Macaca mulatta: one gene and its partners. The protein of the gene in region 3 interacts with the protein of the main gene of each other region in a biochemical or structural test. Links are inferred from orthologs where the notes say so. Each region holds a gene or a part of one and is shown on either strand. Other genes may lie near its edges.

Region 1 (7,467 bases), on a different chromosome or scaffold from region 3:
TATATAATCGTCTCTTTAGAGTTTGACAGCTGCTAGTGTCCAAATATGTTTTTCTAAAGAAATATTTTGTTTGTGAGTACCAACAGTCTTAGTAACTCTCTTATCCCTCTTATGTGCTGAGTACAGTCGGAGGAAGAGGAATTGGAGTTGGTGAGTGTGGGTTTCTGCTTGAAGGAAGGTGAAAAAGATGTAGAAAGTACTAATTACCTTACATGTTCTTATCTAACCAATGTTCCCTTTGTTACACAATTTTTTTAAACACTATTCAAACACTTTGAGTAAAGCAATCTACTGGTACTACAGACTCTAGTTTTTCTATTTATAATTTTATGTGTTGACCCATTTTATTTGTTGGAGGGAACATTGGAATAGAGCCTTTAAAAACAGTAGCTGTCCATGAGCATAGGATACTTGTTAAATTTTTTTTTTTAAGGAAAGATACAGAATACCTTATATAGCTCTCCAAATTATTGAAATATTTTTAGAAAATGACTTCACCCTTGAAGTTCCTCAGATTGTAACACACGATGTTGTGTTGTTTCTCTTTCAAAAAGATTACATCATTTTTGGTGAGGTCACCTTTTTCAGAGTTGGAATTATTTCATCCTGCATGATACAGCCTGAACCACAAGGGGGTTCCCTGTTTACTAAAAGGAATGTCTGTAATTCAATGTATATATATTTACTTTTCTATCAGAAGACACTCTGTTCTTAAAAGCAATTATTGCTCTTTTTCCAAAACAAACGTTTTCTGTTGGCTTTTCCTCTAGAAAATAAACTTGACTAAAAGCAACTTGCAGTTTATCTATTTCTTCTTTAGGTACTAAAACCAAAACCTCACAGGAGTCATCATATAATCTCAAAGTCAGCTGCTAATTAAAAGACTTTAAGGGGAATAAAAACTTGGAAATGTTTTTAGCATGGACAGGGGTTAAGAGTGCATGAAAGCATGGGGGAGAAGGCATCCGTTGGTTTTAATATTCCATGTTTATGCATGCTGGTGTGTTTTGCACAGTTTGTGATCTTTTCAAATAAGGTTGTCTGTTCCCCTTAAAATACGAGATTGTTCCTTATTTAGCTTTGTGATCAGTCACAGTTTTGGATATAGTTTTGTATTGGCCAACTGAACTATTCTAGTCAGCTGTAAATGTTTTGAATTATATTATGAATATCTTTTGGAGAAACACTTTACTTAATGATACCATAATGATCAGTAAATGAGAGTTTATAATTCAAGCTAAAATAATTCACCTTAGGTTAGACTTCACTGTTCAAGGAGTTGTGAATGCTTCCATGAATTATCTAGCACTATATTGCCCTCTTGTGGTTCTGAAAATCACTTACTCTTAGAGAACTCAGTGCCTTTGAGATTAGGAGCTTAGTTGAGTAGAACCAGTGTTTGAAGTCTTACTGTTTTCAAAGGCATGCCAGAAGATTGCCATGAAGATGATGCCATGGAGTAGGTAGGGTCCAAGCCAAACTATGTCATACTGTATTCTTTCACCTAGTGATTTGACTTTAGAAGTTCCAGACTAAATATGAAAGAAGAAATTAAGTCCAAAGTAGATCTGTATCTTGAAAAGTCATTAAATTTAAAAACTTGATACTGAAACTAACATATTCCCAACTGGCATACGTTGGTTTTCCACATTCCTCAGAGTAAGTACATTTGTAATTACAGAACCTCAGAGATAAATATATTAGGTCCCTGAAGACTTTAAAATACGTATCTAAAAACTTATAAACAGCCATTTGTATTCTTTAAAACTGAAGCCTGAGACTCTATAATCAATTAAAAATGCAGAACTTTGTGTGCCAGAACCAAAATATAATCAGAAGCACAGTCCGTTAGAACTTAGAAGTGGTTCAAATTGCCTTGAGCTCTAAAATGTAATTGTGGATGACTGATCCGAAGTGCGGAAGGACAGGTGCCCTGGGGCCTGCACTAAAGACTGTACTGTTAAGACCAGCCACGGAGATTCCTTTAGAAGCTGAGCAATAGTAGAACAACTTGACTTCATGAAAGCTCCAGTAGACTAGGCTATGGATTAGAAGGAATAAAAATATGTATCTTTTTTTTCCCACCACTTATATAGAAATTTGGGACAGAGGGTTTCTTGGGACAATAAGGATATTATCTTACATTTGTGTAGTACTTCAGTTATGAAAGCACTTCTGACATAATAACCTCATTTGATTCTCACAGTAGCTGTTGAAGGCAGCCAGGACAAAGATTGCTGTATCTTCTCTATTTGACAGTGAAGAAGTTCAGAGAGGTCAAATGATTTTCCCAATGCTTAGGAAGTGGTGAATCTGGGACAGAAACTCAAGCAGTACATCCACATCCACATGGTCTTTCTCACATCTTCTAACCTAGGATAGAAAACAGAAATTAAAAAGAAATAAACTGAGATCAGGATCCTCATTGAATGTTTGTAAGTGTCTAGATCTAGCCAAAGGCCTTTGTCTGATGTACTCTTTTGAAAATTGTGGTAGAGAAAATGGAATCACATTCTAACTCTTCATAATCTCAACGGCACTGAATTATACTTTACTGATTTGGCTCAGATCCCTGAATGTCAGTTATCAGGCTGTAACATAATTTATAAAAAACAAATAGAGTTGTGCTGTGACTTTCTGGTGTGCTAGTGACACAGAGTCTGTTGTGTTCCTCCGATCTTAGATTTTGGAAAACTGTTACCTTAAGCCAGTTTGGTGAGAAACTGGTTCTGTCATACTCCTACACATTAAGGACAATGACTATCTTAAACTAACTGGATTATTTAATAGTTGATTTTTTTAATCCATTCCCAGCATGGATAGGATGCTGCATAGATGCATCCAGTTGGCAATCATTTAATATTGCTCTTCCACAGCCCTGTCAGCAGTACTTGATTCAAAATGCTCTACTCAAAGCGTCTCCTACAGAAGGCCAGGGGACCATGAAGGGATACATATCTGAATCTGTTGTTAAAAAATAGGTCAACTGCATGATTGGAGAGAAAGAAATAAGAATACAAGCTGCACTCAATAAGCCATGACTTCAAACTATGTTAACATGTAAATGCCGCAAAGAAAAGTAGTTTTGATTCCTATACTCATAGACGTACAATCCCTATATATACAGATGACCTTTGCCATCAGCAGGTATTTAAAACCTACATATATTTAGGGTAGTCTGACAGTATTTGTAGCGGCATCACGTCCTCATTTTGTGCTAACAAATAGAAGTGCTAATGCCTGTAACATAAGTTCCTATTTTAACGTGGTGTGTCTAACATTAATAAACTATTTTAAGAGGAGAATTAATGTAAAAATATGACTCTTCAAATCAAATATTTAGTTGTTCTCACTAGTATTTTTGAAGTTTTCACATCATCACTGCTTCAGAAAATGACATTCATATAAAACTGAAAAATGTCACTTTTAAATTGAAAGTTATTTTTAAGTCAACATAAATACCATATAAGAACACTTTTTCTCTTTTTTGATCTCTCACAGAATACCCAAAGGATAAGTAGTTCTCAAGCCACTCAACCTCTTGCTACCCCAGTCGTGTCTGTGACAACCCCAAGCTTGCCTCCACAGGGACTTGTGTACTCAGCAATGCCGACTGCCTACAACACTGGTGAGCCTGCTTTGGTGCCTTCCATAGGTTGTACTTCTCTCTGTTTTGTGATCAACGTGTGCTTTTGTGATTTTTTTTTTAAAGTATATTTATTGAAATAAACTATTTCCAGTTTTTTAGATTTAAATTAAGATGTATTTTTAAATGTGCTAGCCTTGAAAAAAATTACAAACAAAATTGATAGTGTCAGAGTTGAATAAGTTATTTCTGCTTCTCCATCGTGAACTTTCAATTACCCCTGACAAAAAGCCCATGTAGATAATATCAAAGTGGTGGCATACATCAAGCCAAGAGGGTAGCAGCCTGTTGCTTGAGTATTGTTGATGTAGTTTCTCTTTAAACAATATCACAGTCTTCCAGACTTTTAAAATAAGATGTTTGTCTTTATGCTGTGTTAACGTGCTTTGGGAAAGACATGAATCCCTTTGGACCTGAGACTTCGGGAGGTGGCCGATGTTTGACTATGTCTGACAGGCTGTTTTCCTCCCTGTAACCACTAGCTTGGTCCATGTCATTTGCGCTCCTGAGGGGCAAAGCAAGGACTGTTCTGGTTCCTCCTCAGAGCCAGTCACTCTGCCTTTGAGGGGAGTTTTGCCTTCATTTATGTTTAGTTAGGCATTTCATCTTAAAATGCCCTAATTTGGGGTTGTATTAGGAAAATTTAAGAATATTACAGTGATTGTAGGAGTGCTTTTAGCCAAGCAGACTGTATGGAGAATCGAGGGCAGCTGGTTTCATTTAAATTTACCAATCTAAGAAGAAGTGGAAAACACATGTGGTTTCACTTTCTCATCGACTGAGCCAAACACCTGATGCTTCAGAGGAAGAAGGCAATAAATTCTACCTTGCCAATTACTCCGAGACTGCAATGCAGAGAAGTTATTCTTTTATGATTCTCCTAAGTGTCATAAGTAGACTGTGGTAAAGATCGTCTGATTTTAGCCTTCAGGGTGAATGCTTTGGCACAGTACTTTGAAACTGCTGTCTGCAGCTACCTGAGGGGGCAGAGTGTTGAGAACATTTGATTGCCACTTTTAAGTAGTTCTTTTAAAACAAACAATAAAAGGTTTCATTGGGGAAAAAAAAAAAAAACTTCTTAGGAAATATCCATTACTTTTCCAACAATTAGTATGAAAAATAATGCCCAAATTTGTTGACTGCATACTATCTTAGGGACTGTGAATCATAGCCTGTTATTTGTGTCTTGCACAGAACAAGGTTCCAGAGCAAAGCCAGGGATGATGGATTCATAGAAATTCTGTTTCGATGCACTGATCACCTGCTTTATGAGAGACACTATGCTAGGGACATACCTTTCTCCAAGTTTATTCTAGACAAGGAGACAGGACATACCTAAGTGGGCAACCATGGAGGGGAAGTCCTGAATTGTTGTGTTTATGAATTTATACTCTGAGAAATGAGAAGGTACGGCAAAGCTATAATGTTCAGAGGCGTATTGACTGAGAAGAGGGAGCTTGAACTAGGTCTTAGATTATGGTTTACTGAGTGTTTCATTACAGGTTTTTCAGTATACTTAGAAATTCCACTATACTTATTTTCAGAAATGCCATTGAATTGGGAATTTATTTTTTAAAAGTATAAAAGGAATTACCAAAGCGTATAAAAATGGAGGCAGGCTCTCAAAATCATCAGTCGCTTAGCGTCAGTCTCATGCCACCTTTTGACTGACTTTATCTTTGTTCTCTTTCTCATAACACTTATTCTGTTTTAAGTTTACCATGTTATTTTTAACTTATTCACACATCTATTCAGCAAATACTTATCAGGCAGCTACTATGTGGTAAGCACTATGCCAGGCACTGGAAATACAGGAGTGCAGAGTCAACAGTGGAGCCTAGGAGGAGGGCACAAGACACATAGCACTAGGGTCAAGCTGCTGCAATTGTGTCAAGGGCTGTATCTCAGCTTGGACATGAAGGAACCTGCATGACTCAGGCAGGCAGAAGAGGTAGAGTGCTCTTGGGAGAGGGCGTGCCTGTACAAAGGCTAGGAGTTCACAGGCGGCACAAGGCTGAAGGAATGGGAACAGAACGTGGGTTAGAATTGAGACTAGAGAAGTAAGTAGCGATTTGTAGACCATGTCAAGGATTTTGGAAACTGTCTGGAGAGCATTGGGAAGCCATAAAAAAGTTTTAAGTAGAGGAGTGCCATGATCATATTTGTTATTTTGAAAAGATCTCTTTGGCTGCTATATATAGGGTTACAAGGCAATGCCAGGAAGCGACATCAGAGGCTATTGTAGTGGTCCAAGCAATGTGTGTTGATAGCATAGACTAGAGTGGTGGCAGTAGAGATGGTGAGACTTGGGCAGGCTTGAGAGAGAGCAGATAGAATTGCTCAGATCTGGAAGTTGATGGGGGGAGTGAGAGGGAGGGGAAATAGCAAGGATAACACCCATAGGCTTCTGCACGAGCTGCTGGGTGCATGTTGGTGCCATGTACTAAGACAGAGTACTTAAGGAGGAACAGGTTTGCAGGAAGGGACAGGCCATGTCAGATTTGTGGCGTTTGGAGTGGCATCCAAATGGACATGGCATGCAGGTCGTTTAAAAGACCTAGAGGTCGAAAGAGAGTGTGGGCTGGAGGGAGCACTGGGGAAGGCATCAGTGTGGCAGGCCCTTGCCCCAGCCCATGGGAGTGTATAGAATAGAATGAATGACAAGGGCAGAATCAGGACAGCGCTGAGCACCAGCTATGTTGCTTCAACTTAGTTCCTTTTTTAACATGTTAATTCACTAGGAAGACCAACTTCTTTAAACACCTCTCTTGAGACATGAGAAAGAAGATAAAAGTAGAAGAGTTTTGCCACCTCTCTTTAGAACCAAATGGAAAAGACAAGTGTTATGATGAGCTGAAATAACTCCCCGTGTGAGTGATAACTAACGTCCTAAATCTTGGTCCCAGTGATTATGACTGAAGCATTCATATGATATGAGCTGGGTTATACTCTAGGACACCAAGTTTTTTCATGAAGTTGAAACTATTTTGCATGCTGTCAAGGAGTTTGTGATAGTCTAGGTACTTTAAACAAATGCAGTGAATTAATTGTGTAATGATGTCACTAAGCTTGGCACCCCATGTGAAGGGAATCTGTCTTTCCTGTCCCCTGTCCCCCAACCCCTTACTTCATTAAGACTTGCTGATTCAAACTCACTCTGGTTGGGTTTGACTGTTTCTGTTTGTTCCAAAGGGTAGCGGCAGGCATATTTAAAATAACAATTGTACAGAACATTCTTTAATGATGGCCTCTTATTTGAATCATCCCAGACAACTAAATATGGCTAGATCCTGTAAAATCTTCCAAGAAAAGATTTTGGATTTTAGACCCACATGTATGTTGTTTTGTTGTGAAGTATCTGGCTTCTCTCAATGTAGGAACTTTTTATTTTTTTTGAGAGGGAGTCTATTGCGCAGGCTGGATGGAGCACAGTGGTGCGATCTTGGCTCACTGCAGCCTCTGCCTCCTGGGTGAAATTCAAGCAGTTCTCCTGCCTCAGCCTCCCGAGTAGCTGGGACTACAGGCATGTGCCACCATGCCTGGATAATTTGTGTATTTTTAGTAGATGTGAGGTTTCACCATGTTGTCCAGGCTGGTCTCAAACTCCTGACCTCGAGTGATCCGCCCATCTCGGCCTCCCAAAGTGCTGGGATTACAGGCATGAGCCAGCATGCCTGGCCTCAGTGTAGGAGCGTTTGCAGTAGCTATCTAAAAAATAGATTCCATGTGGACCTTCCATCACATGCAGAGCTGTCTTGTCTTCTTTCGTAGATTATTCACTGACCAGCGCTGACCTGTCAGCTCTGCAAGGCTTCAACTCG
Region 2 (7,467 bases), on a different chromosome or scaffold from region 3:
AACACGCTTATGCGTCCCTCTCAAAATAAATGGTCTGTTGATCCTGGACGTGTCCTACCAGGTAACACCATAGCGAAGACTTTTTCAGCGCTTGGTCCAACCGGGAAACAGTTATAGCTTCTGGAATAGTACTCGCTCTTCAGAAAAAAATACTACGCAAGGGAAGGGGGTTGGCTTCTTCGCTCCCATCCAAAGGTGGGTGAGAGAAACCCGAGTCGTTGGAGATCTGCCGACGTGATGGGTGCATGCCCCCGTGTGCGCGCGTGAGTGTGGATTCCGCCTGTGACACTTTGGTTCTGTGTCAGAGAATGGTGACGGTCGTGTGTAGACGGATGAGAATGGTGACGGTCGTGTGTAGACGGATGATGATATTTTTCCAGACAGCTCTTAAAGTTCGTTTAGGTGAGCGACTCTTGGCGTGGGGTTTGGTGTCTTTGCTGTGTGCATGTCTAATAGAAGAAGAACAGTTAGCAAGCCTGGGTTGTAGAGTGTCCCTGTGCCTACAAGAGGAAGGAGCCGTCTTTTTGCAGACAATATTTGAAATCAGAGATAGATCCAGTGGGCAACAATTCACTGCCCCTTTCAGCGGGTACAGGCTAATTGGGAGGTCCTCTTTATGGAGTCGGTACTCTTGAAGGGGGGATATCTGTATGGGATTGGAACCTTATACAACGTGGCTGCCTCCCATTGAGAGAAGCTCTGGGATGCACAGTCTGTGCCAGCCAGGGAGATGAAGAGGGGAGGTGAGCTCAAGTTGTCCTTTCCAGGCAGGAATGAGGGTAGGGGTAGGTGGGAGAGCAAAGGGTGATGGATCTGCCAGGGTTGGGGTTTCCAGGTTTCCAGATCTGGCTCCATGGCTTGAGATTTCGTTTTAGGACACCAGTTAGTAGTGAAAAGGGGAAATGCAGATTAATTTATAAGAGGCCAAAAGACAACATGTGAGGTTTTAATATGACTATGTTGTGCGTTTCAAAGGACCCCAATAGGATGGAAGGCAAGAATAGCTCCAAGTTAAAGAGATTCACTTAAGGGGATTTGCAGAAAGTTGACATCCACTCTGATGTATATTTAGCTGCTGTACATTTCTGTGAACCATGCCAGTGCTCTTGGTTGCCCCTTTGCCTTTGCAGCGAGTGAGGGAATTAACTGGCAAGCATGCAAGGGTGGACAAATGGGTCTTTCTCAGATGTTTGCAGTGTACTTCTGCGCAAGAGCTGAGGTTCAGAATAGATGCCTCTTAAGAGCCTCCCTTCTGTCTTCAGCTTTTCTAATTATTTGTGCTTATACCTTTTCTACAGCTGAACTTTTATGTAGGTCCAGGAAATATTCATTAACATTTACAACTTTACATCCAAATTTAACCTTAGATTTAGCAACCAAATTGATTGGGGCCCTCAGGTTTGCATCCTCTTTGAATACATAAAAATGAGTTTCAAGTTTTGATTATGGTATGATAGAGGGCAATTAGGAAGACTGCTCAGAGGGATGCAAAGGCCTTTCCTAGGGATTGGATGAGACTGCCTTTTGTGTCACGTGACTTTATCCTTTCTTTCTCCCTTCCCGTTCTTTACAGACTGTCTTGAGTTCTTCTTGAATTGCCAGTTTTCAGCCTCCTCATGCCTCCATCTCCTTTAGACGACAGGGTAGTAGTGGCACTATCTAGGCCCGTCCGACCTCAGGATCTCAACCTTTGTTTAGACTCTAGCTACCTTGGTTCTGCCACCCCAGGCAGTAACAGCCACCCTTCTGTCATCGCCACCACCGTTGTGTCCCTCAAGGCTGCGAATCTGACGTATATGCCCTCATCCAGCGGCTCTGCCCGCTCCCTGAATTGTGGATGCAGCAGTGCCAGCTGCTGCACTGTGGCAACCTACGACAAGGACAATCAGGCCCAAACCCAAGCCATTGCTGCTGGCACCACCACCACTGCCATCGGAACCTCTACCACCTGCCCTGCTAACCAGATGGTCAACAATAATGAGAATACAGGCTCTTTAAGTCCATCAGGTGGGGTGGGCAGCCCTGTGTCAGGGACCCCCAAGCAGCTAGCCAGCATCAAAATAATCTACCCCAATGACTTGGCAAAGAAGATGACCAAATGCAACAAGAGTCACCTGCCGAGTCAGGGCCCTGTCATCATTGACTGCAGGCCCTTCATGGAGTACAACAAGAGTCACATCCAAGGAGCTGTCCACATTAACTGCGCCGATAAGATCAGCCGGCGGAGACTGCAGCAGGGCAAGATCACTGTCCTAGACTTGATTTCCTGTAGGGAAGGCAAGGACTCTTTCAAGAGGATCTTTTCCAAAGAAATTATAGTTTATGATGAGAATACCAATGAGCCAAGCCGAGTGATGCCCTCCCAGCCACTTCACATAGTCCTCGAGTCCCTGAAGAGAGAAGGCAAAGAACCTCTGGTGTTGAAAGGTAATGCCCCTGCTCCCTTCCCAAGCACAGTCCTGATTAGCCGGGTTCACTTTGGGTTTTCTCGTAGAAGTGACAGCATTCTCCTTACCCTGGCTACCAAAGACCAAAATAGACTTTATTCTTGTCTTCCCTTCTATGCTCTTTATTGTGTTGGTTTAGTAAGAAAAACCCAGCAGTACTGAACTGGAAGCCAGAAGATCTGGGTTCTACCCTTAATTCGGCTTCTAATTTGCATTGTGCAAGTCATTTCACCTCTCTGGGACTGTTTTCTCATCTTTCTAAAAAGGGGCTTTATATACACCAGATGGTATCTCAAGTCATGCCTGGTCTGCTAGCTCTATTCCAGTCAATCACTAGTTGGAAAGTTATTGTCTCTCAGACTTAACCAATGTTGATGGAACAGAGGAAGGAGCAACTATGGTGAACTACAAGTAAACCTACAGGTACCAGTTCTTTTTGTGGGAAATTCTTTCTCTTTTTCACCTTTCTGACCAGCTTGACTTTTATATGGTTTATAAAGTGACCTTGAAGAAGGGCAGAGCTTCTTATTCTAAGGTTCCATATAAGGTATAAGTTCACCAATTACATCCATTCCTCTGCCAAGGCTCCAAGGGAACAGAGACGTTTTTATGAAACACTCCCCAATCCATTGTTTTTTTCTGGCCTCACCTGACAACAGTTGGCATCATGGCTCCTACCAAGATGGAGTAGTGGGTCACTTGCCCCAGTATACTGAATGCAGAATAACTGAGATTAGTGGAACTAAGCTCCAGCAGAAGGAAGTATTCACCCAGTCTTCTTGGAGCACCGTCCATACCGTGTTGCCTAACCTTCCCAAGTAGCCTGCATCCTGTGTCCAGCCTAGTTGCACCTCTTTGCCCTCAGATACTGACTTTTGGGGCACCGTACATCACTCTCAATCGGCATCTTTTACCTGGTGGTGGTAGTGAGAGATAGTCATCTTCTTCTCTCCTTTTGTGTTGTGAGCCAAGGTACACAGTTTCTGGGTCACATCTCCAACCAGTCTCCTAAAGTGTGTTGACCAAAGGTGTTGCTGAGTTTGAACACATTGCATGTTTAAATTGCAATAGGCCATGTGGGTGAGCAAGTTAGTTATTTTGTCTCTACGGGACAGCTTTGCCATTCTCCTTCTTGTCTTCCCAGTGAGGCATTCTGCCTTTTGTTAAGCAGCGTTCTGGGAACTATAGTTCTGAATTCCATTGACACAATCTCCTTTTCCCAACCTCCACTCTCCTCAAACTTGTCCTCATGGGGCTCCCCTACCACAAAGGCACATCTGTCCTTAGAGCTGGTGGGCTTTGCTGGGAAGGAGAACATGATGGAATTGTATGTAGAGAGTTCCAGAAGCTTCTAGGCATTTCCTGGTGGTGGTGGTGGTTGTGGTGGTGGGTTTTCTTGAGGTCACAAATATGTTCAGATTTCCTCTGCGTAGCTCTGTATTTTATTGTTTCTGTATTCTTGTTTGGTTGACTTTGAGTGATTCCCAGGATATTTACCCTGCTATTGTCTTACTATAATCTTGGTGTGTCTGGCCTCTTACAAATGAGAAAATCCTACCTGGGAATTTCCCATTTGTAATAGTTTGTCTTGGGGAGCAAAGAGGAGGATAGCTAATGATCTTGATGATCTCCTCTTTGCTCATGCAGAGCAGGTGTTCACAATTAAAAGCAAGTCTTTTGTGTCTGCATGATTTGAGGAGAGGAAAAAACACGGATCAAGATGACCCTAGACCTCCTAATCATGACCCTAGACCTAGACCTAATCATGAGGATGATTAGAAGGAGTTGCAGACTCTACTCTCTATTTTGCAGCGGGTGAAGTTGTGGATAGGGGTGACCCATCAGTCACTGAAAAGTGAATCTCCTGGGTGCTACTGGTGGAAGTGGGGTGCCTCTCTCCCTTTCCTGTGGATGCAGCTGAGATTCCAGACAGCCTGGGCTTGTTCTTCAGTGTCAGAGAGTAAGATTGCCTCAATGGGGCGGGGCCGGACACACTGCTGACCTCACCACTGGGCGCCCTGGGCAGCCACTGCGAGGCCTCGTCATTTTTGAGTTGGTGAGACACCGCGTTGGTCGACTTGGAAGACGCTCTGGTGGTAGAGGTTAGATTATTTGTAGTTTTGGGGGCCTTTTCTTCAAATATCTGGGAATTTCATTGAAAATATGTAGTTCAGGAGTGAAGGGGTCTATATTCTACTTTATAATTATCATTGTCATTTTGATATCTTTTGGGAGAACGGCCTAAAATTGGGACCAAGATGGAAAAGAAGGGAAAGGAATGGGTCAGTATTAGAATGTCCTTCATAATCCTTTCAACTTGGTAAACCAGTGATTAATACCATAGCACCATTGTGGTGAAAGACGGGGTGGGCATTCCCCAAAGGCATGACCAGCAGACTTCTCCCAAATTCTTGAGTGGGTCAAGCAACAATTCTGGTCTGGCTTCTCCTCTCAGATTTATTTGAGTAATCCCCTCCCTTGGTGATAAGATTGTATTTCAGCAACAGGGGTAGTGGTACCATTTTGGAAAGAGTAATTTTTGTAGGGAAGCTGGTGGGAAGGGGGCATAGTTAGAACATAAGGAGGAAACTTCTAAGGGCCTGTTAATTTATTTTCAGAGATTTCAGTACAATCTTGGGTAATTTATGGCTGGCCCATCTGATGCTCTGGTTTATGTTTGTAAACATTGGTTGCTACCCTCCCTGTCCAAGCTCCTTGTCCCCCTGTCTCCATGCCATGCTCTCCATTTTTGGTGCTGTCTGTCAAGTAGAGCGGCTGCTAACTTGCCATTTTAGTAATGCTGTGTCAGGCTGGGAAGAAACCGATCAGAGGCATGGCAGCCCCTGGGATTAAGTTACTGTTCTAATTTACGGTGCCCTCCCTGTTGTGACCTATGTTAGAATCCATGTTTTAGTCTCATCTTCTGAAGAATAAATGGCATCAGACCTGTGCTTCCCTTCAACTTGGTGAAAATGATCCAAATGAATAAATATTTAGGGATTTGTGAGGTCTTTGAAAGAATTATATTCTGTTTTACTCAAAGCTGATTTTTAATCAACTAAAACTTGCTTTCTAGTCAAACTGAATAAGAAAGCTAAACTATTCTTAAAATTCTTTTAACAATTTTAAACAATTCTTAAAAATAAGAAAGCTAGACCATCCATAATGAGAGCTATCGTTTTTGCTATCAAGATTTTTGGGCTCCCTTTCTTTTTAGTAAAGCTGGATCCAGAGAAATAATTTGTCATTTACTTAGGTAGGAAAAAATAGTCTACTGCCCCTTTTTCTTAAAGACAATACATGCCTCCAAAAATGTTATTATAAACATTTTCAAGCATATAGAAAAGCAGAAAAGTGTGTAATGAACACCCATATACCTGTCAACCAGATTAAACAATTTTATTTTTCCTATTTGCTTTCTCTTTTCTGTTGAAATATTTAAAAATATAGATAACGTTTTAATGTATTTAAGTATGTTTAATGTTTAAACTTAATGTTTCCAATTCAAGAAAGCTAGAAATATAGTATACTAAGAACAACATTTTCACTCCTAAACACTTGAGTGTCATGTACCCATTTTTAAGTGCTTTTCAACCTAGAATCCCTCTGTGACTGATCGGCAGTCTGGTCTACAGAGGAGCTTCCATCCCTGGGAGTGGGAGGGCTCCAGGTGCCTCCTTGGGGTCTGTGTCTCCCCCTTCCTCCCCTGTTATGTCAGAGCCCATGCCTGTACTTGCTCTATGCTATTGTAAAACAAATAATGACCAACTGCTACAATCTTTATAGGACTGCTCTGTACCAAAGGCCTTTACTGGGGAATGAGAGAAGAAGAGGGAAATGGTTTAAGAGGATGATCCATGGGGTGGATTTGACCATGCAGTGAGTTAGGCCTTTATACTGTAAAATTTCACTTCTTAGAATTGAGCATCATAGATTGCACACTTTTCCCTAGTTGAAAAGGATTCTGAAATATACTCTTGTTAGCAATGTAGAGTTCTATGACAAAGTGGATGGCTAGGCTCAGAAATCAGAGACCCTGTGAAAAATATTCTGTTTCTGCCTTTTCTGGGGGATGGGGAAGGGAATAAAAGTCTCCCTTTGTCTCTCAGAGATGTTATAAGGATTCTTAAAAAGGTATCTGAAATAAAGACATATCTGCATTCACAAACGTGCTGCTGTTATTCTGTGCCTCTGGTTAACATCCAAGACTAAAATGTCAAACATTAGCTTTGTAGCAAATGATGGGGAAATCAAGGCAGAACTTTGGATCTAGTCAGTCTGAATGCTAGTCTTGGCTCCCCTCTTACTAGGTATGTGCCCTTGGGCAAGTTGCCGAATCCCTCAGTTCCTTAGTTACCTCATTAACAAAAAGAGATTATAACAATCGCTGTCTCAAAGTGTTAGTTTCTGAAATAAATGAATTAATGTGTGCAAAGTGTTCAGAACTTTACACACATACATGGTAAGCACTCCATAAATATGGTAAAATGTTGTTGATATTGATTGAAAGGAAATGATAGTGCCAGTAAAAAGGCAAATTTTGCTCCTAAGGAGTACAAACAACAAGCTAGGTATAGTAGAGTGTGTGTTGCTATGGCCTAAAAATAACTTAATGACTGTTAACTAATTTAAGTAGCATAGAGTTGGAGTGCCAAAGTAATTGCAAAAACATACTGGGCCAGGAGGCTGGAGTAATTTGGTATATCCCATAATTATTTGTTTTAGGAAAATTTGTAAAAACATAATCTGTCCAACTAAAGTCCCATAACAAAAGTATAAAACTTTCTAGCTTTGCTTTTTGTTACTTCTCATCATCTCATCAGGAAGATTTATTTTTGGAATAAGGATTGTGGACTGACTATAAAAGGGTAGATAGAAGGAGGGGTGAGCTGGTTCCTGAGCCTGGGGTTGTGAAGGGTTGGAATGTGAAGGAAAAAGGAGGGAAGGAGTTGAATGGCCTGCTCCTGTCTTTCAAGAAGTCCTGAAACCTCTTTCTGAACTGCTACACTGTTAGTTGGCT
Region 3 (7,979 bases):
CTTTATAGTTGTAACTTCTATCTGACCTAAAACAGTAGTATCACCAACCTGATTGCCTAATCTTTGAGTCCAAATTCCCTAAATTATTTGGATTCAAATGGACTGTTATTCCCTAAAATCAAATCTGCTCTCAAAAAAATGAAGATGGATGGCCAGACACAGTGGCTCACCCCTGTAATCTCAGCACTTTGGGAGGCCAAGGTGAGCAGATCCCCTGAAGTAAGGAGTTAGAGACCAGCCTGGCCAACGTGGTGAAACCCTGTCTGTATTAAAAAATACAAAAATCAGCCGGGCATGGTGTTGCACACTTGTAATTCCAGCTACTTGGGAGCCTGAGGCAGGAGAATCGCTTGAATCCAGGAGGTGGAGGTTACAGTGAACAGAGATGGTGCCATTGCACTCCAACCTGGGCAACAGAGTAAGACTCTGTCTCAAAATTAAAAAAAAGAAGAAGAAGAGTATCATAGGCTCCAAAGTGGATTCTAAAAGAAGTTCCAAAAAATGTTTTCTGCCACACATAAAAAGGTACTCATTGAAAGAACAACTTCAGGCCGGGCACAGTGGCTCAGGCCTGTAATCCCAGCACTTTGGGAGGCCAAGGAGGGCAGATCACTCAAGGTCAGGAGTCTGAGGCCAGCCTGGCCAACATGGAGAACCCCGTCTCTACTAAAAATTAGCTGGGTATGGTGGAGGGCACCTGTAGTCCCAGCTACTCGGGAGGCTGAGGCAGGAGAATCGCTTGAACCCAGGAGGTGGAAGTTGCAGTGAGCCGAGATGGCACCACTGCACTCAAGCCTGGGCAACAGAGTGAGACTTCATCTCAAAGAAAAGAACAACTTCAAATAACTACACCGAAACTCTGAATAAGATAACACTTAATTGTAAATCTAAATTCTGGTATTTTCATTCCAATATTAGTTATAATTGTTTATTGTTAACTGTCAAATAATTTCAGTTTCAGCTGTATTTTCCTTCACCAATATGCTGTAGGTTACATCTTAAATCCCTTTAGTAGAAAGACTACTAAACAAACAAGCAAATAAAAAAACTCTGCCCCCCTGGAAAGACACAAGACACTTAACAGCGCTTGTCTTTGAGAAAGACAGTAGAGTGGCTGGAGAACAAAAAACGAGACTTTTCACTGAATACCTTTTTTTTTTTTTTTTGAGACAGAGTCTCGCTCTGTCGCCCAGGCTGGAGTGCAGTGCCGCGATCTCGGCTCACTGCAACCTCCGCCTTCCGGGTTCACATCATTCTCCTGCCTCAGCCTCCCGAGTAGCTGGGACTACAGGCACCTGCCACCACACCAGGCTAATTTTTTGTATTTTTAGTAGAGATGGGGTTTCACTGTATTAGCCAAGATGGTCTCGATCTCCGGATCTCCTGATCCACCCGCCTCGGCCTCCCAAACTACTGGGATTACAGGCTTGAGCCACCGCGCCCGGCCCACTGAATACCTTTTTAAAACTTTCAAATTTTATACAATGTGAATATATTACCTATTTTTAAAAATCTGTTCAATAAAAGTACTTTTAAGTGTCAGATACTGCTGGCTTTTTTTTTATTTTGAGACGGAGTCTCGCTCTGTCGCCAAGGCTGGAGTGCAGTGGCGCCATCTTGGCTCGCTGCAAGCTCCGCCTCCCGGGTTTACGCCATTCTCCTGCCTCAGCCTCCCGGTTAGCTGGGACTACAGGCGCCCGCCACCTCGCCCGGCTACTTTTTCGTATTTTTTAGTAGAGACGGGGTTTCACCGTGTTAACCAGGACTTTCTCGATCTCCTGACCTCGTGATCCGCCCGTCTCAGCCTCCCAAAGTGCTGGGATTACAGGCTTGAGCCACCGCGCCCGGCCTCTGCTGGCTTTTATACCACAGAAAAATATACCACTAAAGAAATGTGGAGTTAATTTTAATGGTACTTCACTGTAAATCTGGATCTCCTGTTCCAGTGCAGAGCTAGTCACCAACAGTACTGAACCTTTGCGAGGAATTCAACTGGAGTTCACCCAAACCCTCTATAGATGAGTTATTCTGCTGTTATCACTCCATTAAAATTTAAATAGCATTGAAAACAAAAACGTGATACTACAGAAATGAATGTGTCAATTCAAGAATGAAAAAATGGAAGTATATTAATGAGCTATAAAATATTAAAAGAACAATGATCCAAATACATCTTTGAAAATTAGCAAATCAACTAGATATACATAATATGTATATACTGAATGGATATACATATATTAACATGTATATATCGAATGTAAAATGCTGCAAATCAACTATACACACACACACTCTGAATGTAAAATCCTGCAAATTCCTTTAAAATGTAAACTGCCATGCTGTAAAAATGGGAGAAAGATGTCACGCACGGTGCCATCTGCAACATAACTTAAGCAGCTTGAACTAGAAAATGCAATATGATCTGTTACTGGACACAATTGCACAATCTCAATTACCCAGAAGATTCTACCAAACAGGAAATTCATGATGTGACTTTGGGAAACACAGAAATCATATTTAAAGATTAACACATCCAAAAGCCTGGAATTTGTTCCAAAACAAAAAACTATTTTACAGGCCCCTTTTCAAATGACGCATACAATACGAATTACTAAAACACAGAAAAAGCTAACAGTTAAATCTGATATTTAGTTTCAGATCCGTAGCTTTTAAATTATAGAAAATCTAAAATACAGGGTATAAAACCTTGAAAATTAGAGAGCAGTTAGTGAAATATTTCAGGTCTGGAAATTACATGGTATCGACTTAATTTAAAACACACTCACGGTGTAAATTAAAGCTAAAAAGTATCTCTTCCCTTCCTTTTCTATGTGGTTCCATATCCTTACGAAAACCATCGTGTACCTCAGGCCATAAATGCAGATAACTAGATAAATCCCTGCAAACTCTGAAAGGGACTTTTAAAACACAGTATTCGCAGGAATTATCTCAAAAAATACTTACAATACCTCCTAGCACTGTTAATAATTTTTTGATCTTGAGGGCGCCTTACAGATCTGAATCTTTCTTGCTCCAAATGAAAAAACTGTTTTGTCGAACAATACTTAAATGAGCAGTGGTATGTGACTAATCAGTGAGACTGCCAGTTTCTCAAGCTGCAGCGTTCTTGCAGGCACTACCACCGCCGCCCCTCCACAGAAAGGAAATACGCTTTCAACCGAATCGGAAACACACCACTCAAGCTGGCACAGTGTTCACCGAGATAAAGTCGGTATTTTAAGCTCTATGGATCGCTGCTAATTCAAGTGCGAATTCAAAAAGAACACTTCTCGAGATGGGATTTCGACAGAGGTTTGGGGAAAAAAAAAAAAAAAAAGGCCCGGAGAGAGCTCCCTTCCTGGTCAGTTTTGTTTAGATGACCGCAGTCTTCGGGTTGCGCTCTGCCCTTCTGCTTCTCCCGGCAGCTCCCCAAGCTTGTCTGCTCAGAGGACAGGGTCCGGCGCCACAGCGTGGGCGCATCGCGGGAGAGGGTCCTTCTGCTCCAGGTCCGGAGGGAGACCCCCAAGGAAGCAGCCCTTCCCCCGGTGCCTGCCGCCGAGCAGCAACCTTCCGAGAGGCGAAGGCGCAGGGTGCTAGCCAGAACCGAGCTCCAGCACCACCACCTACCTCTCGCAGCGGACTTGAGCGCTGCACACGGTGGACCGCAATACCCGCGTGAGTGCAGGGCGAGGGGTGCAGGAGGTGCAGAACAGGCAGAGCTCGAAGGGGCAGCAAGGCCCTCCCCCGAGGAAAATTCCTGCCACTTGACGCAACGCAGAGCAGTCGTGCAGGCCTGGCTCTCGGGCGCGAGGGGCCACCCTGCCCACAGCGGCCCCAGGCCCGGCGACACTCACCACACAGAGCCATAGGCGCCGGAGCCCACTGGAGACAGGTTCTGGTAACGCTCGGGCACCTCCCAGATTGTCTTGTTCAGCTCCTGCCGGTAGAACGTGGGCCTCTCCTGAGACATTTTCCAGCGGCAGTCGCCGGGTAAGAAGGTGGCCCTATGGGGCCCCCGCCTGCACCCGCACCCTCTCCCCGGCCCTTGCTGCCCGCCCAGCCGGGCGGGGACCTTGCGCTGGTCGCCCGCGCAGGTGCGGCTGCCGCGACCCCGCAGACTCCCGCGCGCGCGGCTGCTGTCAGCCGCCGCGGCTGGATGCGCCCCTGCGACTGGGGCAAGCCCCGCTAAGGGCAGGGACGCGCTCCGGCGCTCAAGGCTGCGCCTGCCGCGATCTCCCTGCACCTTCGTCCCTACAAGGCCGACTCCGAGCTGCGTCGCAGTACTCCGGATCCAGCTGCTGCGCCCGCTGAGGCTCCAGTGGTCGCGGTTCCACAGCCAGCAAACAGGAGCCTCCCGCAGTACTCTCGCGAGAACTGCTCCCGGGACTCTCCGAGAGCCGAGATTTTACCCAATATGGAACCTCTTCGCGGGCGGGGCTTCGTGAGAGGAGAGGATGAGAGGGGCAGTTCTCGCGAGAAGAGAGCAACAACTGGAGCCCAAAGGCAGAAACTCCCAGGAACTGTCTCCTTAAGGGCGCGAAGGCGGACCAGGGAAGGAAGAGATAAGCGGGCAGCACACGCCGCGCGCGCCCCACCGTGGCCGGCAGGGCAAATACCTGGCTCTGTGGTGGAAAACGACAGTGACAAATAGCGTGTCGGGGAAAGAGTCAAAAGATCTTTAACTGCGAGTAGTTACTAGCAGCGGAGCACCTGCTCAGCTGAACCCCCAAATTCCAAAAAACACTTGCATGAAAAAGAGATAGGTGGCAGGGCGCGGTGGCTCACGCCTGTAATCCCAGCATTTTGGGAGGCCGAAGCGGGCGGATCACCTGAGGTCGGGAGTTCGAGACCAGCCTGACCAAAATGGCGAAACCCCCGTCTCTACTAAAAATGCAAAATTAGCCGGGCGTGGTGGCGCGCACCTGGAGTCCCAGCTACTCGGGAGGCAGAGGCAGGAGAATCGCTTGAACCCGGGAGGTGGAGGTTGTGGTGAGCCGAGATCGCGCCATTGCACTCCAGCCTGGGAAACAGAAGCGAAACTCCGTCTCAAATTAAAAAAAAAAAAAAAAAAAGTGAGAGACAGGTTCTGGCCAGAAGGCTGTTGCATTCCCATCTGCTCAAGGACATATGGGTTACTCTACATGTGGGTTACTCTTCGAGATGCTGACGAAATATGTCCCAAAGGCAAATGTTAACCCTGCATCAAAGCTGAGGCTTTCCAGGGGCTGGGCGCGGTGGCTCACGCCTGTTATCCCAGCACTTTGGGAGGCCGAGGCGGTCGGATCACGAGGTCAAGAGATAGAGACCATCCTGGCCAACATGGTGAAACCCCGTCTCTACTGAAAAATACAAAAATTAGCTGGGCATGGTGGCTTGAGCCTGTAGTTCCAGCTTCTCGGGAGACTGAGGCAGGAGAATTGCTTGAATCCGGGAGGCGGAGGTTGCAGTGAGCTAAAATCGCGCCACTGCACTCCAGCCTGGCGTCAGAAGGAGACTCCGTCTCAAAAAAAAAAAAAAAAAAAAAAAAAAAAAAAAAAAAAAAAGCTGAGGCTTTCCATTCAAACTCTCCTAATAGTTCTTAAACTTACATGCAGAAAAATCACCCTGGGAGTTTAAGATGCAAGTTCCCAGGACTCACAGGGAGTCTAATTGGGTAGGTCAGAGGAAGGCATCAAGAGCATGTATTTTTATAATACATCTTAGGTAATTCTGATTCAGGAAAGTCTGATATCTCCCTTTGAGAAGCATTTAAAAAACCATTACACTGAAGATTTGAAACTGACTCCTACCCTGAAGAGCCATCAGTGAAGAGGATTTTAAGCATTCAACTCAGGCCTCTTCGAGTAAGGAGAAGAGGGCAGAAGTCTCATCGAATTTAGGCAAGTCAAATGACCTTTCCTGAACCTTAGTTCCAGCTTTTACAAGAGATTTCCTGCCCTGCATTCCCGACTAACAGAGTCATTTGTAAAAACTAAACAAGATAAATGTGAATGGGCAAGGCATTATAACCCCATGCCTACATCCATTATCAACCTACACCTATGCTAAAGCTTGTTACAATGAGCAGAAGAATCAGATCCTGCATCATTGTCTTAGTTTCTTGTATTAGAAATAACTAGGTCCAAGCCAGGACATTTCTCAACATTTCCTGTGATTATTCTATTTTGTGTCATACACACCTTGGAGGGCTCAGACTTTGCCTATCTTGTCCCAATATCTAGCACAATGTCTATAACATAAAACATGTCCCATAAGTATTTGTTATAAAAATTGTGAACAATGACCATGATTTCAATTTAAGAAGTGGTACAGGATTATCAGTCCTCCTCAAGGAAAGCAATATAAAACCAAAAAACAGAGTCATGGGTGATTCATGGAAAGCTGTTTTGGATCCAATGTAGCTTAGCTGGAATTCTCTTATCTACAAAAACATGATGCTTGAGAATGTTCCAAACTAGGGAGGCTAGGAAGCTTTCTAAGAAGTGACGGAGGGTGAAGGGGAAGTAAGAGCAAAAACATGGTTGTGAAGAAATGAGGGATGGGGTTGGGGGGATCGAGGGAATGAGGGAATGGTTACAAGGGGTGAGGAGGAAGGTTGGAAGTAGGAATCCTCAGAAATGCACATTTTTATCCTACAAATTGGGATAATGAGGTGAGGGTGAATGGAAGGGTAAAGATAAAGTAAGCAGTATATTCATACACTCATTCAACCAATGTGTATTAAATGCCTACTAGGTGCCAAGCACTTGTAGTTAAAAAGTGATTAAAAACTACAGTTGCTGCCTGCGTGGAGCTTACAGTCAATGGGAGGGCAATCATTCAACACAAATTCATTGAACACTTCCTATGTCCACCACAATGTTGTAGGCACTCATAATAAAACAGTTAATGAAAGGGATAAAAATCCCTGCCCTCATAGGGCTAAGATTATTTACAAAAAGGAATACACAAAGTGCATAATAAGGTAGACATCAACACAGTCATCAAACAAACAAGTGTAAAACTGTAACTGGGCCAAGCAGGAATACAAGGTGGAGTGAGAGACAGTGATAGGGACAGGGATAGGGTGGGAGGAGGGTAAAGGGAGTGAGTGCAGACGGCATGTCTGCATCCAGAGCCGACGATCTGGGCAGGAAGGTGTCATCCAGTGGGGAGAGCCAGGCCTGTGGGGCAGAGAGCCTATGGTTGGAGACCTGGGTAACCCTCCTAGCCTCCATTTCCTTTTACCGCTTCTGACCTGAGGAAGGCTAAGTCTTCCGGAGACGATAGTGAATTACCGTCTGTGCAGTACACATGTGCATTGCTGTATGTTCAGGGCACGAGGACTGGCACCAAATTGGCCCTCGATCAAGAATAGTAAAACCTCAGAGAGAGTAGGAGCTTCGGTACCCAGGTTTACCAAGTACCAAGGGGCTCCCACGACTCAGGTATAAGGAGGGCGACCTAGGTACCCCTTTCCCGGCTCCCTAGCCCAGCTGCTCATGCTCCCCTTCCTCGTCCCCTCCCCCACTCTCATCTTCTGCCCGCCCGGAACGTCCGCGGGCTAAGCCACAACGGCTAGGGAACCGCCGGTATCCGCGTCCGCAGCGCCGCCAGCCAGGCGGGAGCCGTGTGGGATCCCAGCGCCCGCACTCCCGCCCCCGCCAAGGAGCCAGGTGAGCCGCTGCCGGGAGACGCCCGGGCGCCGGGGGCTGCAGGCGGTGAGCGGCGAGGCCACAGCGGGTCCCATCTCGGGGGCTGCGTCTGTCACCGGCAGGTACCCAGGTATGCCGCAGAGCCAGGCACGCCGCAGGCGCTCAGTCAGTATCTGTGGAATGAACGAATGACGGTCGTCCCTGGGAGCTTATCTCTCAGGTATTGTCTCTACTTTCAAAGGCCGTGTGGATGGCAATGACAAGAGACAGTGTGTGCGTTTTGCAAGCTGCATCCTTTCAAATTCTCCTGTCTATATTGTCAAAAGCCCCAGAACTGATGTGCTA
Region 4 (8,052 bases), on a different chromosome or scaffold from region 3:
TGTAAGATGTGAAACTATAAAATTTGTAGGGAACCTCAGGCTAGGTGAAGACTTAAGACTTCACACCAAAAATCAAAATCCGAAAAAGGTAAAATTAATAAACTTGAATTCAGCAAACTCTAAAACTTTCTGCAAAAGACTCTGTGAAGAGAGTGAAAAAACAAGATAAACTGGTAGAAAATAGTCACAGAGGGGTAAGGCCAGTATCTAGAAAATATAAAGAATTATGAAAACTCAGTTGTTAAAACCAAACAATCCAATTAAAAAGCGGGTAAAAGACATGAACAGACTTTTCACTAAGGAGGATACACAGATGGCCATAAGTACATAAAAAGGTCTTGATGTCATTAGCCATCAGGGCAATGCAAATTAAATTATCAGGAGATACCACTATACACTTATTAGAACAGCTAAAATTAAAAAGAAAAAAACAGTGGCAATACCAAATGCCGCCCAGGCTGGGAAGGTCCTGAATCACTCACACACCATCGGTGGGAATGCAAAATGGTGTAGCCATTCTGGAGAAGAGTTAGCAGTTTCTTACAGAATTAGACATGTGCTAACCATATGACTCAGCAATTGCACTCCTGGGCATTTATCCCAGAGAAATGAAAACTATGCTCACACAAAAACCTGTATATGAATGTTCACAGCAGCTCTGTTTGCAATAATCAAAACCTGGAAAGAATCCAAGCACCCTTCCCGGGTGAACGGTTGAACACACCATGGTTCATTCAGATGGGCGAACACCACTGAGTAATTAAAAAGAAACACCTATGGACATGCTTGCCAACCTGGATGGGTCTCAAGGGAATTGTGTTTAGCGGAAAAATTCCGTCTCGAAAGGTTGCATAGTGTATGATTCCATTTATAGAGCATTCTTTATAGAAAATGGGAACCATACTGTGGTTGCCAGCCTTAGGGAGGGGGAAGGAGGAAGTCAGCTTGGCTATAAAGGGTAGCATTAAGGATCTTGTGATGAAACTGTCCTGTCCTCTGATGTGTTGGTGGTCACATGGTTCTACACGGGTCATAAAATTACACAGAACTAAGCACGCGTGCACAACACGCACGCACACACACACACAGAGCAGTCTATAAAGCGAGTACATGTAAACTGGTGGACTCTGAAATCTGAACGAAGTTAATGGGTTGTATCAATGTTCAATTTCTAGTTGTGGCATTGTACTATGGTTTTTAAGATATTATTGTTGGGGGAAACTGGTGAAGGGAATTGCATGTGAATCTACAATGATCTCAAAACAGAGTTTTACTATATTGCTTCAGTGAATATCCACTGTGTGTGTCTTATGCACACAGACCAGGTTTTCCCTAGAGGAGACACCTAGAAGTGGAATTGTTAGATCTTAGGATACACCCATCTTCAGGTTTTCTAGATCATTCTCTAACTTCCTAATTATATTCTACTTGAACTCATGTGAGGTCTAATTTTTCTGCACTTTCTCTAATATTTGGTATAGTCACAATTTAAATTTTTCCAGTACAGTAAAGTTAAAAAAACCTTTTTGACATCTTAGTTTTGAATTCCCTGAATTCCAGAGGGTTAAAGTCCTTTTCGTATTTTATCAGTGCATCTGGGTTTTCTCTTCAGTCTCATATTTTACTCTTGAGTGGCTTGTTTCAAATTACCACATTTTAGAACTGTTTCTGTAGTCTAGATCCTGGCCTCACATAGGTCTGTGTCTCCTCATCTTTTAGACATCCACCTATTTTTCACAATGGTGACTCCGACCAATGCAGTGCTGTTCACAGAGTCCAGAACAAAAGAACATTCAGAATGACATTTTTGCGCTTTAATGGCTATTGAGTCTGAGACATTGCTAATAGCTTGGGAACATGCTTTCATGGTTGTCACTGGCACTGCGGGAGATGTTGCCGTGGAAGGCAGCTTCAGCCGGCCGGAGAGATCAGCTGCCCTTCTGGCTGGCCTGTCCCACAGACGTCCCACAAACCTGGCCAGCCCACCTCTGCATAAGCAATTCCTTGCCATGAGTAATATGTATCTCCACCTGCTTCTGTTTCTCTGGATGAAGCCTGCCCACTACAGGTTTTGACAGAGATTTAAAATCTCCTCTGGAGACTATTCCAGCGGCTCGCCTGGCATTTCTGCTCAGCTGGCATCAGGGCCTGTGGGGTGAGCACTCTTCCCTTACACAGCTCCAGCACTTCCTTCGGGGGTTCCAATGGGCCAATAGAAGTGTCTTACTACTTAATGGCCACTTATTTAAAATTATCCCAAGAGTAATTAGAGGCCAGGCACGGTGGCTCATGCCTGTAATCCTAGCACTTTGGGAGGCCGATGTGTGCGAATCACTTGAAATCAGGAGTTTGAGACCAGCTTGGCAAACATGGTGAGGCCCCATCTCTACTAAAACAAAAACAAAAACAAACAAACAAAAAACCCAAAAATGAGCCAGGCATGGTGGTGTGCCTCTGTAGTCCCAGGTACTGGGGAGGCTGAGGCAGGAGAATCTCTTGGACCCAGGAGGTGGAGGTTGCAGTGAACCGAGATTGCACCACTGCACTCCAGCCTGGGCGACAGAGCAAGACTTTATCAAAAAAAAAAAAAAAAAAAAGACAAGGAGTAATTAGAATATTTTTTCTCTTTTATTGACAACTAAGAAAGCTAAGGAGAGGATGATGAACAAAGACGGATGCCAGTGGCCTTATGGTCAAATCATTCTTGAAGGGAAACGTGTGTGGGACATCTCTGGGTACACTCACTCATTATTAGGGGTGGAATTTTAAAAGGAGGACCCAGGAACACCTTTGCAAGCCATCCTTTTCACCACGGCGGTGCAGAGCAGCAGTTAGGCACTGGTGCAGACTCCCTGGACTGAATCCTGCCCTCTTCTCATGTGCCCTTAGAATAACTTAACCTCTCTGAGCCTTGTTTCCTCATCAGTAAAAAATGAAAATATGAATAGGATGGCGACATCCAATGAGAGCATCCTAGGGCCGTCCCAACTGTTATCCGAGGTGACAAACCGCTCTCAAAAGAGAGTCTGGCAATGTGCAAGTGGTGGATAAACACTCCCTGGGGACAGAAAAGGCACAGAGGAAACTGCTAATCTTAAGCATGTCATATTTTTAAAGAACTTGGAGGAGGATTAAAAGTCAAACAAAATAACTTACAATTAACATTGACAAATTCAGGCAGAAATAGAAACACCACACGAAAGTGCGGTCTTTTTTTTTTTTTTTTTTCCAGCGTTTGGGGGCTAACTTTAATCAGTGCACACAGCTAGGACCGCCACTGACCAAACTCAAACCCCATGTCTCAAATCATGGAGGAACCGTGAGCTACCAGGTGTAAAACAAGCGACGCATCTTACGCTTTCTTATCTCTGGGCAGAATTGTGATACTTTTGGAGGATTTTCAAAGAAGATTGAACAAAATAGCTTTGTTTAACCCGGAGTTAGCAGAAGTGGTTGTTTCAGAACAGTTAACTCCCTGGGAGTTACTCCAGCATTTACAACAATTTTTAACTGGGTTCTTTCCCCTCAGATTTCACAGAAAACAAAACAAAGCCCTAAAAAACAAAAGACACACACACGCACATATACACACACACCCCTCTGCTGCGGTGCCCTTTCCCCTACAAAACCCTAAAAAACAAAAGACACACACACACACACACACACACACACACACACACACCCTCTGCCGCGGTGCCCTTTCCCCTGGCCTTCTCTACTGAAAGGCAGGTGGGTTCCTGGCTCTCGGCCGTATCCACAGCCCCAGCCCAAACGCTAAGGAGGTGTCCATCACTGGAGGTGGCCGCCAGGGAGCTCCGGGCAGGACCTTGCTCAATCCATATGGTTCCCTGACTTGAGGGTGACCGTCCTTAACCCGTCCCCCGGAGCTTCGCCAGATAAAATGTCCAAAAAACACATTGGATGTTCCCTGACGTTTCCTTCCTCTGAAAAACTCTTTCCAGGCGGGACGTTCTGTGGTCAGACCAGGCAGCGGCCTCGCCGGAACGAAGTCCACGCCCCTCCCAACCCAGCACCCAGCGAGCCTACGCGCCCCTCACCCAGGCGCAGAGAAACCGAGCACTTGTTGATTCTCATGTTGTTGCAATTGGAAAACGGAACAAGGAACCAGAACGCGCCTGTTTCCAGCCAGAGTCGCACTGGGGTCCCCAAAGACGCTTGAATCTTTTCCCAAGCCCCACTCCACCTCCCAAAACGGGGGGCTCTGGTGGACGCGAAAGGACACAAGGCGCTGCCCCCGGCACCGTGGAAAATACAGTGTGGCGGCAAATGACCGCAGGTCACACACGCCGGCCTCGGGGGCCACCGAAACCGGACGCACCCGGCCCAGGACAGGCAGTGGGGCCCGGGAGGCGGCTGCAGGGAAGACCCGGGCGGGCCGGCGGGCGGCTGCAGGCGGCGCACGTGGGCTCAGGTGGGCGCAGCGACCGGCCGGGCGGAGGAGCCCGAGACAGGCCCTGCGAAGGCGGAAGCCCGTACCCGGGCTCTCGCGGCCGCCCTTGGAGCTCAGAGGGAGACTGCGCTTCGCCCTGGGGGCAGGGTCGGGGGCGCGATCGCGCGCGGGGCCCCCGGGGTGTGATTAGCAGGCGCCGCGAGTCGGGAGGACCCTCCAGCCCGCCCTGGCCGCCAGCGCCCTCTCCGCACCCGCCCAGAGTGGCCGCTTTTGACCGCCGTCCCCTCCCACCCTAGACTCTTCCCCTCAGCCCCACAGCCCGAGGCCGAGCGGTGGCAGCGACCCTGGGACCGCCGGGCCTGGCTGGAGACCACCCCTGGGCAACTGTCAGGGTCCGGCCCCGGCGCTGTAAACCCGCGTCTACACCCGCGCCCACCCCCTCGCAGTGGGGATCGGGGCCGGCGAGGTGGGTTCGGGTCAGGGAGGACGCCGGCTGCCACCTGCCCGGCCACCTGCGCCGCTGCCCAGGTTCCCCCTGCGCGTCCCCAGCCAAGAGAGGGACCCTGAGTCCGGGCTTCGGGACAGCTCCTGTCCCAGATCTTGCGTCCCAGGCTCCCGCGGGGCTTGGGTCCGGGATCCCGCCCAGGTCTCCGCGGTCCCCACTCGGAGGGGCACAGAGACAAAGGCGGCAGAGCCGCCCGCCCGTCCCTGAGGGTCACCCACCGGCGCTGCGCTCGCTGCTCCGAGGCCGAGGGGCGCCGCGGGGTCCAAGGCCCTGCTCCCCCTGCTCGGCCCGGGCGGGCTCGTCTCGGCTTCAAGCGCCGACGCGCGGGGTCCCCGGGCAGCCTGCGCCGCCTTCCGGGGTCGGGAGACCGGGGCCGCCGGGGCTGGAGGCTGCTTCTCTCTGGCGCGCGGCGGCGGTGACTGACGGCGGCGGCTCGGAGGGACGGGCGCGCACCCCGCTCCCCGGCCCCGCCTCCCCGGGCTTCCTGCGAGCCAGGTAAACACAGGCCGATCCCGCCCGGCCCGCCCCACCCCACCTGGACGCTGCCGCCGGAGCCGCCCCGGGAGCTCGGAGGACCCGGGGCCCGCTCTGCCCACGCGGAACTCGGGGGGCGCACGGGGCCCACGCGCAGGGTCAGACCTCAGAGGGGCGGCCTGGAGCCTCGCCCGCTGCCGAACTGGGCTCCCAACTGCGGCCCGTCGACCCTTCCCGCGTGGCTTGGCCTGCGAACCCACCCCGACCCCGACCCCGACCCCGACCTCGACCTCGCGGGAGGAGTGCCAGGCCGCATCTCCCCGCGTCCTCAGGGCCTGGAAACCCCAGAAACTGCCGACGCACTTGGCGCGGCCCTGGCTCTGCAGGAGGAGTCAGCCCGGCCTGGAGGCGAAAGGAGCCTGGCAGGTCCTCCCGGGGCGCGCCCTCCCTCCCCTGGAGCCCAGGCCAGGCCCATGTCCGGCCGGCAGGTGCCCCGCTGGGAGCTGGGGGCTGGGAGCTGGGGGCGCACCTTCTCCTGCAGGACGGGCGCTGGAAGCGCGCGCGGAAAAGACAGGAAAACACGCGCAGGTGCGAGGAAGCAGCCTGGTCCCGCAGCCCGGAGACATCGTAGTCTTCGTCGCTCTCTTGTTAAAAAGAAAAAGCCTGCTGTTTAGCCGTGACTCACCTGCACGCAGATTTAGTGGTCAGAGATCTTTCCCTGGATTCTCGGCCTCCTAAAGGTGATAGAGGAGGAGGCTGGGGGAGGCCCTGAATGAGGCCCCGCGTTCCTCCTGACCTACACCCCCAGTCAGGGATCTGGATCTGGAGCTTCCGGAGGCAGCCTGGGACCCACACAGTTTGTTAGGAAGTGAGGGAGAGGGGTGAGCCCTATCCCGGCCCTCGCTGGGAGGCGGGACACCGACTTCAGCGTGGGGTCGGGGTTGCGGCCTAAAACCAGCCTCTCCCAGAGGCCGGGAGGATTTAGCAACTGTGTTCAAATGCTGGCAACTGGAAGAGAAATAGTTCCACAACGACCCAAAAGCATTCAGTCTGGTGGTTTCCTCAGGAGAGATTTTCAAGTGGAGAGGTTAGGAAGGTTCTGGGACTTTCAGGCTGAAGGTGAGGAGGGAAAAGGGTGCCAAAGATAGTGTGTTTCTCCAATTTTTCTGCCCCCCAACCTCACTTTAAGTCAAGGATGAGCGGAGTGGGTGTGGGAGGTTGGACAGCTGCCCTAGGAGCACGGGTGGTGACAACGAACCCGGGTGCACCCAGGTCCCAGCTGAAGTCACTCAAAGCTCAGACTGGGGAAGCTGGAACACTGGGTCCCGTTTTAGATACCTGTTTTAGCATCAGAAACAGCTTTTCCTCCCCAAAACATCTCTTGGCTTTATCTCAGTGACTCCACAGGGCGGGGCCACCTTCCTGCCTGCAGATGTCCCTGTATGCTGGGCTCCAGAGCGTCCCTCAGGCCACAGTGACAGCAGCAGCACGTGGCCTTCTGTTTGGTGCTCCTGCTGCTGGTGTTTCAGTGGTTTCCTGAAACACTGCATATGCCAACAGTCAGCCCTGCAAATGTCAGGCTCCACAAGTTCCAGTTAAAAGTCTTTTTACAGTATTTATAAAATTGCACTGTGCATATTTTGTTGGGATGGAGTGTCCATGCAGGTGGGCAGCCAGGCAGTTTTAAACATTCATGGATTCTTCAAAGAAAACATATAGATAATACTATTTAACAAAACAGTGGATTCACATTTGGATCAATTGGTCCTGTCTTGGGGGTTTTCATGCCCTCCTGGTTAGAAAAAGGACCCCAGGTTGAGGACAGTGGATGGAAGAAACAGGCCGGCATTTCACTGCTGAGAGACAAACTTTCACATGAAGATGTCCATGTAGCCCTCGGCAAAGTGACAGAGATTCACTGTGCTGAATAAAATTGAAAGGCATCTTTTGACAAGTAACCCATCAAAGCCTCATTGTGTCTTTGACATTTCTAAGAAAGTCACATTGCAGTTACCCCCATCTTTCACAAGGTACCAGAGAGCAGAAAGTTAGATCTATCCGGCATCTCATATGGCAGCAAATAGCAAAATGTTTTGTGCATGAAATAAACTCAATAAATTTTTTGTTAAGTTGAATTAAACTCCAAATTACCCAAGCTAAAGGAAGTAAATGAATCTAAATAGTTTCCGACAGAACTCAGACTGCACGAACTTTGAGTTTTCTTTAGTTTCTTCATCAACAGATTTGTCTTTGTTATGATGTTTTGCTTAGGAAAGGACTGAACTTTTTTTTTTTTTTTTTTTTTTTTCCAGATGGAGTCTCATTCTGTGGCCCAGGCTGGAGTGCAATGGCGCAATGTCGGCTCACTGCAACCTCCGCCTCCCAGGTTCAAGCGATTCTCATGCCTCAGCCTCCCGAGTAGCTGGGATTATAGGCAACTGCTACCACGCCCAGCTAATTTTTGTATTTTTAATAGAGATGGGGTTTCACCATGTTGGCCAGGCTGTTTTGGAACTGCTGACCTCAGATGGTCCACCTGCCTCGGCATCCCAAAGTGCTGGGATTACAGGCCTGAGCCACCACACCCAGCCAGGACTGAACGTGATTTTCAGACCTGGTCTACACCTCTCTGAGCCTCATTCCCTTCATCGGTAGTGTGGAG

Evidence for each region.
Region 1: of the proteins of MAPK14 (region 3) and MEF2A, one has a biochemical effect on the other in vitro, tested with the Homo sapiens proteins (2 studies listed by BioGRID). The link is inferred for Macaca mulatta from reciprocal best matches to the Homo sapiens genes MAPK14 and MEF2A.
Region 2: the proteins of MAPK14 (region 3) and DUSP10 form a complex in vitro, tested with the Homo sapiens proteins (2 studies listed by BioGRID, with this or other methods). The link is inferred for Macaca mulatta from reciprocal best matches to the Homo sapiens genes MAPK14 and DUSP10.
Region 4: of the proteins of MAPK14 (region 3) and MBP, one has a biochemical effect on the other in vitro, tested with the Homo sapiens proteins (4 studies listed by BioGRID). The link is inferred for Macaca mulatta from reciprocal best matches to the Homo sapiens genes MAPK14 and MBP.

What each region holds. Positions count from the first base shown.
Region 1 is NC_133412.1:89,974,556-89,982,022, forward strand, and holds part of MEF2A (myocyte-specific enhancer factor 2A), read left to right. Parts: intron 1-126; coding exon of another isoform or gene 127-150; intron 151-3,501; coding exon 3,502-3,628; intron 3,629-7,417; coding exon 7,418-7,467. UniProt on the Homo sapiens protein: Transcriptional activator which binds specifically to the MEF2 element, 5'-YTA[AT](4)TAR-3', found in numerous muscle-specific genes. Also involved in the activation of numerous growth factor- and stress-induced genes.
Region 2 is NC_133406.1:79,619,905-79,627,371, reverse strand, and holds part of DUSP10 (dual specificity protein phosphatase 10), read left to right. Parts: intron 1-1,573; 5' UTR 1,574-1,616; coding exon 1,617-2,427; intron 2,428-7,467. UniProt on the Homo sapiens protein: Protein phosphatase involved in the inactivation of MAP kinases. Has a specificity for the MAPK11/MAPK12/MAPK13/MAPK14 subfamily. It preferably dephosphorylates p38.
Region 3 is NC_133409.1:146,225,140-146,233,118, forward strand, and holds the start of MAPK14 (mitogen-activated protein kinase 14), read right to left. Parts: upstream 4,321-7,979; 5' UTR 3,971-4,320; coding exon 3,855-3,970; exon of another isoform or gene 3,628-3,854; intron 831-3,627; exon of another isoform or gene 407-830; intron 1-406. UniProt on the Homo sapiens protein: Serine/threonine kinase which acts as an essential component of the MAP kinase signal transduction pathway.
Region 4 is NC_133423.1:3,678,662-3,686,713, reverse strand, and holds the start of MBP (myelin basic protein), read right to left. Parts: upstream 5,338-8,052; 5' UTR 5,135-5,337; intron 1-5,134. UniProt on the Homo sapiens protein: The classic group of MBP isoforms (isoform 4-isoform 14) are with PLP the most abundant protein components of the myelin membrane in the CNS. They have a role in both its formation and stabilization.